2 linked regions of the Struthio camelus genome follow. Each later gene encodes a partner of the first gene's protein in a complex. Links are inferred from orthologs where the notes say so. Each region holds a gene or a part of one and is shown in the gene's direction. Other genes may lie near its edges.

Region 1 (8,028 bases):
CTCTCCCTAAGAATATATTCTAGTTCCTGACTGGAGAGCAATGTCCTTATTGAACAGAAATGAGATTCGCCCAAAGCAATGATGAGTGAAGTATTATCTGAACTGGTATTGCTGAGACTTTGTGTCTTTGCTCTGACCAGGGCGTGATCACGTAATCTTCTCTCTGAGCTTATTTAGGCTAAGTTCATCTCAGACTTAGATGAAAAGAAACTGTTGTTTCTTGAAAGTGTGTGATGCAGCTCTTAAAAGTAGTGAAAAATATGATTACTTTTCTAGCATTTTTTTTGCAGCAGCAGCAGCAGAAAAAAGTTCAACCTTGATTTGAAAAGTGAGTTGTGTAAATACTTGTTTGGATTTCTGTATCTTGCTGCCACATTGGTTTTATCACTGAGCTTGCTGTGACAGGGGTTTCTTGGCTTTCCTCCCATGGTAAAACATGTCCCACACAGACTCTAGATGGTCTGCCACTGTATCATCCATTTGTAAATACAGTGCGGACTCTGTAAAATGGAGGTTATCCTGTAGAGACCTCATGACCACTTGGTTCAGCTGTCTTATCATCCAATGATTGCGAGCACTGAGACAGGAGTATTTTTAGCAGTGAGCTGTGCTGTTGGGCCTGGCTCTGGTGCTCTGCTCTCTCTCAGGCTGCATGTCAAGATATGAGATGGGAGGGGCTGGCAGCAGCAGCGTAATGTGGCTGCTTCCCTGTTGGTAGGGCAGAGGATGTTAAAATTCGGGTATTGGAAAAAATGCAGTAATCAAGCACTCCCCAAAAGTCTTCACAGGAGAGGGTATTTATTACATGTTATGCACTGGGGTTTCCTGGGAGAAAGTTACTGGGAACACTTTCCCTTTATGCCCTAGGAGGACCAGGCTAGGCAGGAGTCACACAGAGCCCGATATGTGAGCTAGAGCCCAGCATGATTCACATCAGCTGTTTCACAATGATTTGTCTGTTGTATGCAAGGTGTTTTTTTCTTTAAGCTGTGTTATAGACTCAGATTTTTAGTTGTGCATGAGTAGTACAATATACAGCTATGTTTCCGTAACTTCTAAAATCTAAATGCTGTGAAACAAAATGGATTCTCTAGCTCTAGGAAGTGATTTGTATCTCGGAAAGCACAGGAACAATTTCACTAAAGAAAATTTGCAGATAGTATAATGAGTTAGGTTGAATTTTGATTCTTTTGCCTTGATGAACTCTCCAAATATCTTTAGTATTAGAGTCAGTGTTATGCTTTCAAATGGCTGCTTGTGATGGCATGTGACTCCCTAACCTGGAAAGGTATCTAGAAACAAAAGCACCCAGACTCTGTGGGCTGATGCAGAGGGCATTTTTAATTTTGGGGGTTTTGTTCTGGTTGTTTTTTCCAAAAGCCATCAGTATCACCTGGATGTTTGACTTTAGATAGTTTGCATTTAGTGAGGGGTGGGACTAATCGAAACACATGGAGTTGTGTGGGATAAGGTGCAGCCCTTTCACCAGCCACAAAGACTGGGCTAATAAGCAGGTGCAGAAGAAGATATGGAGGTATTCTCTAATCCTGTTCTCATTTTCTTCTAGGTCTCGATGACAGCTTTACATTCACCTCTCACTTGTGTGGAGAGGGAAGCTTCTATGGGGGAGGTGTATGTTTTATGTTGGGTTTTGTTCTTATCAAGCTAGGAGAATAGATATGGTGGTTATCTCTTAACAAGAGAGGCTATGCAGTTTCCGTTAAGGAAGTAGGGAAAGCAACTCAATTGTTAATGCACTCATGTTTTGAACAGTGACCGAGTTGTAATGAAGCTAAGCCGCATTCAAACATTTTTTAAAAAAAACACTGGAAAAATCAAGTTATGACAGTGAGGTATTAGGTAACTCCAGTGCCACTGTTAATGTTGAAGTAATTGTATTAAGCAACAGATCAAAGCTTCCTGAGCGTATATATGATACATGAGTGTATAGCGCTCCCAATTTGTATGTAAATGTGAAGGCTGGTGTAATAAAAGAGTATTTATTTCCTTAACAAGTCTTTCTTTGTATGTCTTGATACCATCACGGCTTTAACAGTACTATTGCAGTGTACAAAGTAGAAAAAGGGGATGTTTGAGTAATGTGCATTGGTTTTGTAGCTTTGTTTAGAGCAGCCAACTTAATGTAACAGGTATTTGGCTACTAAGCACAGGCCAGTTAGCAAAAGCAGTCAGATCCAAACTGGTATCCTGCAGCCACCTGCAGGAACACTAATAAAATCTGCCCGGTAACTGCCAAGTGTGTCACCATTATGGACTTAATGCCTATTAGTCAGATAGGCTTTAAAGAGCAATTTAACATTCAAAAGAATAATTACAGCTGTCCTAAACTGTGAAGCTTAGATGTGGGTGGTTCTGAGCAGGTCCCAGGTGGAGTCGGCCAAATCTGTTTGGCAGGAACTCAGCATTGTACAGCATGGGGGAGGAGAGAGATGGAGTGGAAGGCAGCCAGAGCCGGACAGGAGGCCATCCAGTGGCCACTCTGGAGAGGGAAATAGTTATTAACTCTGAGATCACTCGTTACCTGCTTGCCCAGTTTCTCACTGAGCAAGAGAGAGAGAATCTGGAAGGTATAGAAAGGACCGAAGGAAAACAAACCTATCTTAAAACTGAATAGTCAGTCAAATCCTGCAGCTCTTATTAAATGAGCGGTTGCTCTGGAGTCAATGGGACAGTCAGTGCCATGTCTGTATAATCAGACTGGTTATTTTAAGACCATGTAGCAACAGGGGAGCATCTTGGATAGTGGCTTTTCATTAGAGATGATAATCTCAGTGTATGAAGCAAAACTGATGTAGCAAGTGATGTGAGTTAATATGAAGCCCAAAGCCAGCTATATTAAAAGTGATTTAAAATCTCAGAAAATCTTGCATTCAATGTGATTTCTTTTCCAATAAGCTGTGTGTAAGTACTCTTAACAGCTTTCTAAAGGAAGAGAGGTATCTCTTTTCTATCAATCCCAGAACTACTGGAGGTAAGAAAAAACGTGACAGTTTTTGTTGTTATCCCATAGCGGCAGAGTTAGAAGGGGCTGGCAGTTGTATAGAAATAATAAGCATTGGGGACTTATCTCATTTGTTAGAAAAGTTGTGTGGTGTGTGTTTGTTTGTGTGTTTTTTCCCAGAGCACCTTTGGGAGAATGCAAATTACTGTATTTTTCCAGCCTATTCAATACACTCGTTATCTTGCTCACAGATGAGGGACAATTTTATTGATTTTTTTTTTTCTGAAGCAGGGCTAAAATGGGGGGGGGGAAATGAGATCATTGGTTTTATGGATTAAATGTTAGAGCATATCTCTTAATCTGGAAAGACAGTATACTCTGTGCAGCAAACTCTGCTTCATATTCTATAGGCAATGTCACCGTGATGTCTGGAGCAGATAACTGCTGCTCCCTCGAGATGAGTCAAGAAAATCAACCTTCTGTCAATAAAAATCATGTGTCTGATCAGTCAGTGGTCTGAAGCCAGGACCACCCATAACATCATGCACATTTCCTTCTATTCCCTGTTCAATGTGCTACATGATCAGTCTAGATTGGGACTGGAATAACAGCAATGTAATACTAAATTCAAACACAGATATTACAGCTTTCCAGCCTGCAAAATACTAATCTTTTATCTATGACCATCATCTGCAAAGATAAGAGCAGCTTTAGTCTAGTCTCCTTTGTGCAAATAAAGATCCTAGAGGAGCAAACTTTCTTTTTTCAAACATTAGAAAAGAAACAAATGCAGTTCATTTAGTTCAAATGGGTTCTAAATCAAGAAAGAATTTTGCTTTGTAAAAGCAGATAACAACAGATTTGAGGACACATCTAACAAAAAAAAAAAAACAGTTCACAATTGCTGCTTTAATCTAGTTTGTCTTCCTCCCTGGTAGTCTTGTATCTGTGTTTGTACACATTATACATATCATCTCTTGTTCCTTTAAAGAGTCAAAGCCTTAATTTAGAACTGTTGATGGGAATTAGAGGTGTAATGTTATCATTAATTCAGAGGCGAGTAGCCTGAAAATGCATGGAGGCACTTAAGAATACCATGGTCAGAAAAGAGGTCAAAGTCTGTCTCTACCTCTTTAAGAAGCGCTAGTGCCAGAACCTGCCCCAGGCAGTACTAGAGTCTGTGAAGCGGCTAAGGGTGGAATAGCTCGCCTGGACAATTTTTGTAGCTCTCCAATTTGCTGGCCATACCCTCGAGCAGGATTTTTGCCAGCAGTGCTCTTTGGTTCTCACATCTGCATTCTTATTATCCAAATCAATGTCTCCTCCCATTCAGTTTGCCTTTGAAGGTGTTTCTATGCTGACTGACAGATCGTGACTGTCCTACCCTTCTGGAGCTTTGTCATGGGATGTTTGAATGGCTAAAAAACAAGAGGGCGAGCCTTATCGAAGTTTACCAAGGCAGCAAAAGTCTAATCTGTAGGACTCAAAGGAGCTTTAGAGATCCACTTGCAAGTTGTATTGGTCGATGGTCTTCTCGGGGACATCAGAAAGGGCAAATTCAGGCTCGTTGCTACCCAGTGGCCCTGCCACTCAGTCTCAGATGCATCTCTGTGAAAGCACAGAGCCGGCCTTTCAGCTCTCAGGGGAATACAGTTTGACAAGGTGCTGTAGCTCTGTGGCATAGCCTGTGACTGGGCATCGTTGGTGAGTCTTCACGTAATTATACACGCAGCGGTAGCAAAATACATAGCCAGACGTGGACAGGACCGTGGCATTGGCTCGAATTTTGCGGCACAGCGGGCACATGGTCTTCAGTTTAGGTAAGAGAGCTGAGTCCGCCCCATGGTCAAGGTGTACTGGTGGTGGAGGAGTAGGGAGCGCTGTCAGAGATTTGATCGTCTCTTGGTTTTCCGAGGAGTACCACCACTCCAGGAACTGAAGGAAGAATACGCTGACAGACAGCCCAGTGGACAGGGAGAAGGCAATGCCACCCAAAGCTTTCTTCATTGCTGACTGCACTTGTGCCTTAATGCTGTGGCAGGGAGAGAAGGAAAGGAGAAATTAGCAGTACTGCACATTTGTCCCTCTGCAAACCAAGGCTAAAAAGGTTTGGGGTAAGTTACTGCTCTATACAGCTTCTTAATGCTAAATGATTTTGTTAACATGTTCCATGTTTGTAATGAGACATCTGCTAGGGTGTTGCTCTCAGATTCTTTGTGTTTTAAGAAGAGCATAGCATCTCTAGGAAAATGTCAAGTCCTGTTTTATTCAGAGGTCTAAATCAGAAGAGTTTGGGTTGAGGGGACCTGGATCACAGAACATTTCACTCATGGACCATCATTTTACAGGACATTAAATGTGACCATGACTAGTTGTGGCTAAGTTTCAGTCCTTTTAGCAAAATGGGTACAGTCTGCTTCCCTTAATAGAAAAGGGCAGCTAAAGATTGAATGGAACGGAGGCTGGAGTGCCAAAAAAGCATTCTGATTTTATTAGCACAAACTCCTGTGAAGCTAATGCCTCTTACTTTGTTCCTTATTTACACTTACTATCATGACATTCCCTTTTGGAGCAGGGTTTTGCCACATGTAAACTTCATCTTTCTGGAGAACAAGACAGCTTAACCTAGGGGCGTTGCCTCTACGTCAGCCCACCCACAGAACCTCCTAGCAAGTAGCTGCTAAGCAGAGTTCTAATGTACCTGTGTGTCCGACTCGAGGCGGCTACTGCAGATTTCTTCTCCAAGGCCTGGATATCATCTGCAGTCAGTCTCACCAGGCGAACGCCAGCCAGCTGCAGCATGGGTGAATGATGCTGAGCTTTCCCGAGGATATAGCACAGTTGCTGGATAAGAAACCAGCCCTCCCAGGCCATGTTTACAAATGGATAGGCAGCTAGAAAGGCTCTGTAAAAGCGCTTCCAGGACGATGAGGGAGGGTGGATGGAGTACTCATCCTCTTCCCTCAGACTGGACACCAGTTTCTCTAGCTTTCCTTTCAGGTAAGGAACAAGAACAAGCAAAAGGAGAGACTTCCAGTGCTGCTTCTTTGGCAGGCCAGCACTGGCCAGCGATTGTTTGCAGTCTCCTATTGCTATCCTCTTTAAGCCATAGAAGTTTTCAGAAAAAGAGGCACTGCACCTGGCCAGATACTGCTGCTGGAGCAGTAAATCCAGGAGGATGTAGATCTCATCAAACCAACGCCAGAGGGAGCCATATCGGCCAGGATTCGACTCAGCCAGCACCTATTGAAAGAAACACAAAATGGGGAAGGAGCTGATGGTGCAGACAGATGCTAAATTACAGTAACTGTAAACTATGCCTGCAGTTCATAAAGTGAGCTGAATGGGTCAAAACTGCTATGCTTGCTCACAGCTGTGGCCAAATGTGAATCCTGGTGATGAAAAGCTCAGCTGAGAGAGCGGTGTTCAAACTCTCGACGTTCTCTCTGTGCAGCAGTTTCCCCTCAAAGCATTCACTGTCAAGTATTCACTGTCTACATTACCTGTCCTCGCTAAAGGCATGCCTCCCTGCGTATGAATACAGTTGAGCTCTCTTGAGTCAACGGGACACAAGCCAACTCTGTTTTCCATCTTGATTCTGGCTTGCTTGAATCAAGGGCAGAGGGAGCTTGCATCAGTCTGCACCCTCTGTGCAGGCGCAGACTGCTTGTCCTGCACTTCAGCTACCGTCTTGGACAGGCCATGTAACCCTTCTGCTGAGTTTCCTCTAGGGACCTTCCCCACGACACAACACTGTTGAGAAAGGCGGTTAACGCTTGCCAGGCAGTCTGAAGACAGCTTCCAGTAAGCAGTTTCTGAAGAGCACAAGGGAAATGAGAAACATAATACCGAAGGGACTTGTTTTTTTGGAGAGAGGCTCCTGTAGACTCACAGGGAGGGCGCCCAGCAGCCCCTCACATCGCCTCCGACGCCAGGACCCATGCGCCGCAATAGGGCAACAGGTCTGCTTACGCGCGGGAGCAGCACGCTGCCCAGTAATGAACCCTTCCAGCCACGCACCAAACCCACCACCGCCAACATCTCCTGTCCTCTGGGTGAAGCGTGCGTCGCCCACCGTTTCATGGAGAACAGCCATTTCACAGAAAAGAGCCGTTTCATGGAAAGTGGGCCCAGGGAACGGGAGGCGCCGGGCCCTTACCTTGGCCAGGTGCTGCAGGGCCGGCTTCACGGCGGCCATCAGGCTGTCCTGGGCCACCGCCTCGAAGATGGAGGGCCGGTCGTCGCCGGCCGGGGTGGCCGTGAGGTGGGCCCCGAGCTCGGCCATGGCGCCGCCCCCGCCGGCAGGGGGAGCCGGCGGCCCCCACGCCCTCAACGCGGCGGCGGAGCGCGGCGGCCTCGGGGCTCTCCCCCGGAAGTGGGGCGCGGCGGCGCTCTGTCTCCGCCTCGCGCCCCTCTATGGTGGCAGGGGCGCGGCCGCTCTAGGCGGGGGGAGGGTTGATTCTCGCTCCTCGCGAGTCCTCCCGGCCGCTCCGCTCCGCTCCGCTTCCGCTTCCGCCGCGGCCGCCCCCACAGCCGGTGTGTCCGTCGCCGCCCGCCGCCGTGAGTGGGGCGGGGGCGCCGGGGCACTGGGAGGTGCTGGGGGCACTGGGAGGGGTCGGCAGTACTGGGAGGGGGAAGTGGGAGGTGGTAGGGGATCCTGGGAGGGGGCACTGGGATGGGATGGGGGGGGTACTGGGGTGGAGACTCTACTGGGCCGCTGGAGGGGAGCACTGGGAGGACTGGGAAGGGATAGGGGTGAGTACTGGGAGGGGACCCTGGGGGACTAGGATGAGGGGTGTGTGCTGGGGTGGGGACTGGGTGGGGGGGGTCAGTGCTGGGGGGGACTGGGCAGGGGTGGGGGCGAGATCTGGGGGCCTGGGAGGAGGCTGGGAAAGTGAGTGCTGGAACTGGGAGGACTGGGGGGAATGGGCAGGGGTTGGGGGGCAAATCCTGGAGAATTAGGCAAGGGAGAAGTGCAGGGAGTGATTGCTGAGGGTATGGGGGGGCAAAAGTGGGACAAGTGCCAAGGCATTGGGGGGGTGAGGGGTAGGGGTACTGGGGTGGGA
Region 2 (7,456 bases), on another chromosome or scaffold:
GAGCATTGGGACCCATGGGGGGCTGGGACCCCACGGGGGTGCTGGGACCCATGGAGGGGGCTGGGAACATCATGGTGGTGGTGAAACTCACGGGAGCATTGGGACCCATGGGGGGCTGGGACCCACGGGGGTGCTGGGACCCATGGGGGGCTGGGACCCACGGGGGTGCTGGGACCCTGCCCTGAGAGGCCGTGGTGCAGGGAGGGATGGATCAGTCCAGCTGTGAGGGATGGGGGGGGTACGTGGGTGGGTGGGTGTGCACACGGGCGTGTGCTGGTTTGCACACAAGTTTGTGTGCCTGTAAGGGTAGGGGGGTGTGCGTGCTCAAAAGGGTGTGTGTGGTCACGTGGGGGCTGTGCATGCACACGGGTGTATGCGTGAGTGTGTGCTCACATGCGTGCTTGTGTGTGCACGGGGGGTGTGTGTGAATAGAGGTTTATGTGTGTGTTCACAGGGGTGTGCATGCACGTGGGGGTGCTCGCGTGGGGGCACGTGCTCACGGGTGGGTGGGTGTGCGTGCACGGGGTGGGTGTGCGTGCATACAGGAGTGTGTGTGCACAGGAGTGTGTGTGCACGCAGGTATGTGGGTTGGTGCACAGGGGTGTATGCGCACATGGTGTATGCGCAGGGACTCAGGGCTGGGTGGGCACTCGTGGGGTGTGCTTGCACACCGGTGTGTGCATGCACGCAGAGGCCTGGGGGGGTGTGCGCATGGGGGGGGTGTGTGCACAGGGGTCTGCGTGTGCTCGTGCACAGGGGGGTGTGCATGCACATAGGAGTTTGTGCGTGTGTGTGCGCAGGGGTTTGTGTGTGTGTGCACATGGGTGCGTGTGTGCACATGGGTAGTGTGTGTGTGCACAGGGGCCTGCGTGTGCTCGTGCACATGGGGGTGTGCATGCACACAGGGGGCTGTGTGTGTGTGTGTGTGTGTGCGCTTGTGCACAGGGGGGTGTGCATGCACACAGGGGTTTGCGTGTGTGTGAGCATGCACATGGGTAGTGTGTGTGTGCACAGGGGTCTGCGTGTGCTCGTGCACATGGGGGTGTGCATGCACACAGGCGGCTGTGTGTGTGTGTGCGCTTGTGCACAGGGGTGTGTGCATGCACACTGGGGTTTGTGTGTGTGTGTGCACATGGGTGCGTGCGTGTGTGCACATGGGTAGTGTGTGTGTGCACAGGGGCCTGCGTGTGCTCGTGCACATGGGGGTGTGCATGCACGCAAGTGTTTGCGTGGGGGGGTGCGTGCGTACAGGGGTGTGTGTGTGTGCGTGTGTGTGTGTGCACACATGGGGGGTGTGCACAGGGGTGTGCGTATGCTTGTGCCCATGGGCGTGTGCATGCACACAAGTGTTTGCGTGCACGCATGGGGGGGGGTGCGTGCGTACAGTCGTGTGCGTGGGTGTGTGTGCACCCGTGCACGCGGGGGGCGCGTGATTGTGCACACAGCGCTGGCTTTGGGGGGGGGGGGGGCGCTCGCTCTCCCGGAGAGGAGGGGCGGGGGGGGGGGGGGGGGGCGCTGTGCGTGCACGCACCCGGGCCGCGTGTGTGCGCATGCACGGCTGCCTGCGCGCGGGGGCGCGCGTGTGCGTGTCCGCCCTCCCCAACGGAACCTCCACGCCGCGCGGGTGGGTGGCTGCGCGCCCCCGCGTGCGTGTCCGCGGCCCGCCCCGCCCGCGCCGCGCCGCTCGGGGGCGGGCGGAGGCGGCCGCGCCGCGCCGCGGGGCTGCGCTCTGCAGCGCCGAGCCGAGCCGGGCCGAGCCGAGCCGGGACAGCCGAGCCGAGCCGGGCCGGACCGGGACAGCCGAGCCGAGCCGGGACAGCCGAGCCGAGCCGAGCCGGGCCGAGCCGGGACAGCCGAGCCGAGCCGAGCCGGACCGGGACAGCCGAGCCGAGCCGAGCCGAGCCGAGCCGGGACAGCCGAGCCGGGCCGAGCCGGGACAGCGGCGCCGAGCGGAGCCGAGCCGAGCCGGGCCGAGCCGGGACAGCGGCGCCGAGCGGAGCCGAGCGGAGCCGAACCGAGCGGAGCCGAGCCGAGCCGATCCGGACCGGGACAGCCGAGCGGAGCCGAGCGGAGCCGAGCGGAGCGGAGCCGAACCGAGCCGAGCCGGACCGGGCCAGCCGAGCGGAGCGGAGCCGGACCGGGCGCAGCTGCCGCCCAGTAATTTTCCAAGCTCGGGCCGGCGCTGCCCTGCGAGCGGCCGCGATCCGCGGGGGCCATGGGAGACAAAGGCACCCGGTGAGTGCGGGGGTCGGGGGCCGGGGGGGGCGGCGGGGAGGCGCCGGCAGGGGCCGCGCCGCTTTCCCACGCCGCCGCTTATGCGCAGGGGAAACTGAGGCACGGCGACGCGGGGTCGCACGGTGCCGGCGGCCGCGGTCAAGGCGGAAACGGCTGCGCTTCCCTCGAGCGGGGCTGCGGGCTGCCCTGGTCCCCGTGTGCCCCCCCTAGGTCCCCCCCCACCCCGCGTCGGTGGCGCTCGGGGCGCGCTGCCCGCCGTGGGAACGGCGGCGCCGGCCGCCCCTCCCCGTGCGCTCGGGCCCGCAGCCTGCTGCTCCGAGCAGCCGCCTCGCCTGCCACATCTGGAGGCTGTCGGCGTGCTGGAGGCGGCAGCTCTCGCCTGCGCGCAAACCCCCCTTTCCTGAAACGCAGCTGCAGCTGGGGAGGGGCGAGGGATGCAGCTGGCAGGGCTGCTGCAAGAGCCGCTTTTGTCGCAGCCCGGGGGCCTCATCCGGCAGCCCCGAGGGGCGGCGGGGAGCAGAGGCGGGAGCCCCCGGGCTGGGCGTGAGGGCAGCGCCCGCTCTCGCGGCGTCGAGCACGCGAGCCGCGGGGCAGGCCGCCGCCGCGCCTTTCGGGAGCGCGTCGGGGGGGTTGCGCGACCCCGATGGGGCGTCGCGCGTCCCGGGAGCGCTGGGCCGAGCCCGGTGCCCGCTGGGCGCTGCGCCTAGAGGCATCGGCGACGCGGACGTTATTACTCTCTTTCACCCGGACCCGGCGCCTGGACGTTGCTGGGGTGGGGGCACACGAGCCGTCGCTGCTGAGAAACGCTTTTGCTTTTGGGTTCGGGTGGGAACCAGGAGCAACCGGGCCCCGTTGTCCTGGTCGAGGGGTGTTTTGGGCCTGGAGGTCTGGCGGGGGGGGGGACGTGGGGGAGCCGTCGTGCCCGTTGTCACCCTGCGGGGCTTCGAGCATCCTGCGGATGGGAGACCCTGCCTGGCCTGGGCCCTGGCTAGGGGCGCGCGTCGATGCGGCGAACGCGCGTGCGGGGGCGCCCGTCGCGCACCGCCGGCGTCGGCTGCCCGGGCGGCCGGGCCCCGAGGCCGAGGTGGGCAGGGAGGGTGGGCCCCGCTTTTGCAAGGGTTTGGGCCCCGCTTTTGCAAGGGTTTGGCCAACCTCTTTGCAGAACCTTCCGGAAAGGCTGCATGGATGTGGGGTCGCAGGACGTGATTTGGGGGCCGGATGCGCCCGGCTCTGGCTGTCTCCCCTTGCCCTGGCATCAGTTTTTTTCCGGAAAAAAAGTATGTTTTAGCCTCTAGAGCGTGAGAACAGCCCCTTCGCCCCCCACGGTGGCCGGCCAGCGGCTCGCGGGGGTCCCCGCTGCCGGCCTTCGAAGGAGCCCGCCGGGGATGGGGCGAACATCCGCATCGCGTTGCCCCGGGGAGCGCCGGTGCGAGGGTTTCCCGGGAGCCGCGGGGCGTCTGCCGGAGCAGACGAGGGCGCGCGGGGATTCGCGTGACAGATCTCTTCTCATTCACCCGGGGGGGGGGGGCTTTGGTTCCCCCCCCCCCCCCCAAAAAGCCCGGGAGCCGGCGCGGAGGGCGGCCGGGTCGGCTGCGGCTTTGCACGGCGAGGTCGCGGGCTTGCAGAGCCCCGGTTTGCTTTTAGACTCCGGAAACACCCGAAAAACCTCATTTCTTCCAATTCCTTCGTGGGCTTGCAGGGCCGCAGAGCCGCGCGCTGGGCCGCCTCCGTTGCGGGGGGGGGGGGGGAACAGCAAGTTTTCAGCTGGCTCGGGCGGCGGGGCCGCAGCGTTTCGCACGCGCGGCCGCGCTGAACGTCGCCCGTGCCGCCGGCGTGAGGGTTTCCCTGCCCGCGGGCGGCGGGTGCCCCCGGGGCCGGCGCGGGCGTCAGCGCACCGCGTTTCCCAGCCGCCTGCCGAGCGCCCTTCAAAGCCCTGCGCTGCGGGAAGCGTCCGCAGGCGGAGTGAGAGCCGTGCGCTCGCCGGCGCCGCCGCGTCGCCCCCTTATTTACGGCTTCTCCGAGGGTGCGACCCCCCCCCCCCCCCCAAATCCCGGCCTGGATGCTGCCGACAGAGCCGAGGCGGCCGCGGGAACGGGCCGGGGAGGGGGGGCGCCGAGGCGGGCCGAGCTGTCCGGGCTGCGGCGGGGAGAGAGGCAGCGCTGGCCGCTGGCCCGGGGGGAGACTCGTGCTTCCTGGCCTTTGTTTGCAGAACAAACTCTCCTAATAACAGCAGGATGCAGACATCCCGGATCCGAGAGCCAAGTCGCTTCCTTGCCAAGGAGGCCCGGAGCGAGGAGCTGCTTGGGCCCGGCCGGGCGATGTTGTCGACGAGCTGGTCGCGGGAAACGTGTTGCGACGGGGTGGGCGTCAGGCGGGGCAGGCGAGCGAAGGGCAGCGCGGGAAGGGCCGGCAGCGAGGGGGTCCTGGCCGCTGCTCCGCGCGGGCAGCTGCGGATGTGCGGCTGCAGGTGTGCCCGGGCCGAGGGCCAGCGCGGTTCCCGCGGTGGCGGGGGTGGTTCCCGCGGTGGCGGCAGTGGTTCCCGTGGTGGTGGCAGCGGTTCCCGTGGTCGCAGTGGTGGTTCCCGTGGTCGCGCTGGTTCTTGCAGTGGCAGCAGTTCCCATGGTGGCGGCGGTGGCAGTTCCCGCGGCGGCGGCGGTTCCCGCGGTCGTGGCAGTTCCCGTGCTGGCGGCGGTGGCAGTTCCCGCGGCGGCAGTGGTTCCCGCGGTCATGGCAGTTCCCATGGTGGCGGTGGCGGCGGTTCCCGCGGTGGCGGCGGTTCCCGCGGTCGTGGCAGTTCCCATGGTGGCGGCGGTGGCGGTTCCCGCGGTCGTGGCAGTTCCCGTGGTGGCGGCGGTGGTTCCCGCGGCGGTTCCTGCGCGCCGCCCTGCTCGGCCCCGTTTCCCGTGGCAGGAGCGCGGCCACCAGCGCCGATAATTAATAGGGAGGAGGAAATAGCGGGGTGGGAAGCGCTGGCCGATTCGATTCACCCAGCCTCGGGCAGGCACGTGGCCGTCGACCCGGCGCCCGAGCCGGGGGATTTCTCCTTTCCTCCCGGCTCGGCCGAGCGTCGGGCGCGGGAAACCCCCGGAGGAGAGGGATCGCCGGCTTTTGGCGCGGGGCGACGGCGTCCGGGACGCGGGGGAGCGACGAGCCGCGTGGCCCCGCGCGCGGCGGCGGCTCTTCCCGCGCGCCCGGCCGGATGCTGGCCTGACCGCGGAGCGCGCGGTGCGGTTGCTCGACGCGTTGTCCCCCGAGGTCCCCTCTCGGGCCGCGGAGCTAATGGGATCGAGCCGGCAGCCACATTAACATGAGGCCTGGTGAAACTCGCTCCTCTGCCCGGCGTTCAGGGGAAATCGATGGCGTTGCTTTCCTGCTCCAGCTTCGCCACGCTTTAAAAAAATAAAAGGACCCGGGGTGGGGGGCCGATAGCGGGGGCGCCTGGCGTTTGCAGCCGCCTCTCACGTCCCCCAGGGATGGGGACGGAGAGGGGCAATGCCAGGCGCCCGCGGCCACGCTGACGTCCCTCGTGCAGCTTAACCCGGGGTTCGGTTACGAAACGGGGCAGCTGAGCTGCAAGAGCAGGTCTTTGTGCGCCTGTCGAAGGGGCGGCCGAGGTCACTGCGGCCTCCGCCGGTGACCGGAGCCGGCGGCCCGCGCGCCGTGCTGGGCGCTGCCTGCGGCCTCGCTGCAGCCTGGCTCCGGGCTGGCGCTCGGCGCTGCCCCGTCTCTGCCCAGGCTCCCTGGGCGCCTTGCGGAGGCTCGGGCCGTCTCGGCGCGCCCTGCGAGGCAGAAACCTGCCCTTTCCGGGCCCTCAGGCAGCGCTTTGGGCAGCGCGGCCTTTGCGCGGCAGCTTGCGCGGCACCTGGTGCAACAGGGCCTTTGCACGGCACCTTGCGCGGCACCTGGTGCAACAGGGCCTTTGCACGGCACCTTGCACGGCACCTTGCACGGCACCTTGCGCAGCAGGGCCTTTGCACGGCACCTTGCACGGCACCTTGCGCAGCAGGGCCTTTGCACGGCACCTTGCACGGCACCTTGCACGGCACCTTGCGCAGCAGGGCCTTTGCACGGCACCTTGCACGGCACCTTGCGCAGCAGCGGTGCCGGGCAGCCCCTGGGCATGCCGCGGCGCTGGCGGGGGCCCCGCGCTCCAGGACCCCCCCTCGGCGAGAGCTCTGCCCGGCGGCGGCTCGCTGGGCTGCCGTCGCGCCCCTCGGACTGGGCGCGCGCCCAGCCGTGCCGCGCTGGGGGGGGGGGAGCGCGGGGCCGCCAGCCCCCTGTTTCGCCGACGTTTCTAGGAGAGGCTGCGCGGCGGGGGGAGCTGGCCCGGGCACCTCGCTCCTCCGTGCCTCGGTTTCCCCGCTAAGGCGCCTTCCCCTCTCCTCTTTTGCAGGGTGTTCAAGAAAGCCAGCCCCAACGGGAAGGTGAGCGGGGGCCGCGGGGGTCCGGGGGGGCGCTGGGGTCCCACCGCTGCTGGAGCCTGGACCGCACGGGGGCTGCCGGGGCGGTGGGGGGGAGATGGGGGGTGATGGGGGGGGTCTGCATTTCTCTGCCGTCCTCGATTTTTCTTTGCGCTCGGAGCTGGACGTCGCTCCGAGACCCTTTCTGGGCTGTCGGACATGTACGGCCGGGGAGGGAGGGAGGGAGGGAGGGAAGGAAAGGAGGAGAAGGAGGGAGGGATGGACGAAGGGAAGCACAGAGGAAAGGAAGGGAGAGAGCGAGGGAGGGAGAAGGGAAGGGAAGAGGAAGAGGAGGGAAGAAGGGAAAGAGAAAGAAGAAGGGAGGAAGGGAGAGAGGGAGGGAAGGAGGGAGGGAGATGGGAAGGAGGGAGGAAGGCAAGGAGGGAGATGGAAAGGAAAGAGGAAGGAAGGGAGAAAAGAGGGAGGGCGGAAGGAAGGGAAGGAGGAAGGAAGATGGGAAGGAGGGAGGAAGGAGCAGCCGCTTCGCCGGGCGGCAGATCCCTCCGGGAAGGGTTCGCTCCCGCTCTCCGTCCCCGCGGGAGCCTCCGGGCAGGCGGAGGAAAAACCCCGGCCCGGTCCGGAGGGCGCGATGGCGGGCTGCTGCCGGGCTGGGGGCTAACGAGCTCCGGGCGGGATTGCCGGGGCCGGGCGGCGGGACGCAAACCGGATTTGCGCGACTCGCCCCCTGGCCTGAGCCCCGCAGCCGTGTGACGAGCGCGTGGGGTCTCTGCACGCGCCGCCAACCTGCCCGATGCCGGACA

The links. The genes of interacting proteins can lie anywhere in the genome.
Region 2: the proteins of AP2B1 (region 1) and ARRB1 are in contact, whole or in part, in a crystal structure (PDB 2IV8), measured with the Homo sapiens proteins. The link is inferred for Struthio camelus from reciprocal best matches to the Homo sapiens genes AP2B1 and ARRB1. Residues at the interface, in NP_001273.1 of Homo sapiens: Arg834, Gln835, Phe837, Leu838, Trp841, Lys842, Asn846, Glu849, Ile876, Ala877, Arg879, Val881, Glu882, Gln884, Tyr888, Glu902, Arg904; in NP_004032.2 of Homo sapiens: Asp384, Asp385, Val387, Phe388, Glu389, Phe391, Ala392, Arg393, Arg395, Leu396.

Annotation. Positions count from the first base shown.
Region 1 is NC_090957.1:14,847,828-14,855,855, reverse strand, and holds the start of AP2B1 (AP-2 complex subunit beta), read left to right. Parts: upstream 1-4,994; 5' UTR 4,995-5,076; intron 5,077-5,663; coding exon of another isoform or gene 5,664-6,205; intron 6,206-7,121; coding exon of another isoform or gene 7,122-7,247; exon of another isoform or gene 7,248-7,555; intron 7,556-7,582; exon of another isoform or gene 7,583-7,717; intron 7,718-8,028. Other genes in the region: PEX12 (peroxisome assembly protein 12), read right to left, coding at 4,595-4,994, 5,664-6,205, 7,122-7,247. UniProt on the Homo sapiens protein: Component of the adaptor protein complex 2 (AP-2). Adaptor protein complexes function in protein transport via transport vesicles in different membrane traffic pathways.
Region 2 is NC_090942.1:223,716,416-223,723,871, reverse strand, and holds the start of ARRB1 (beta-arrestin-1), read left to right. Parts: upstream 1-4,426; 5' UTR 4,427-4,469; coding exon 4,470-4,702; intron 4,703-6,628; coding exon 6,629-6,659; intron 6,660-7,456. UniProt on the Homo sapiens protein: Functions in regulating agonist-mediated G-protein coupled receptor (GPCR) signaling by mediating both receptor desensitization and resensitization processes.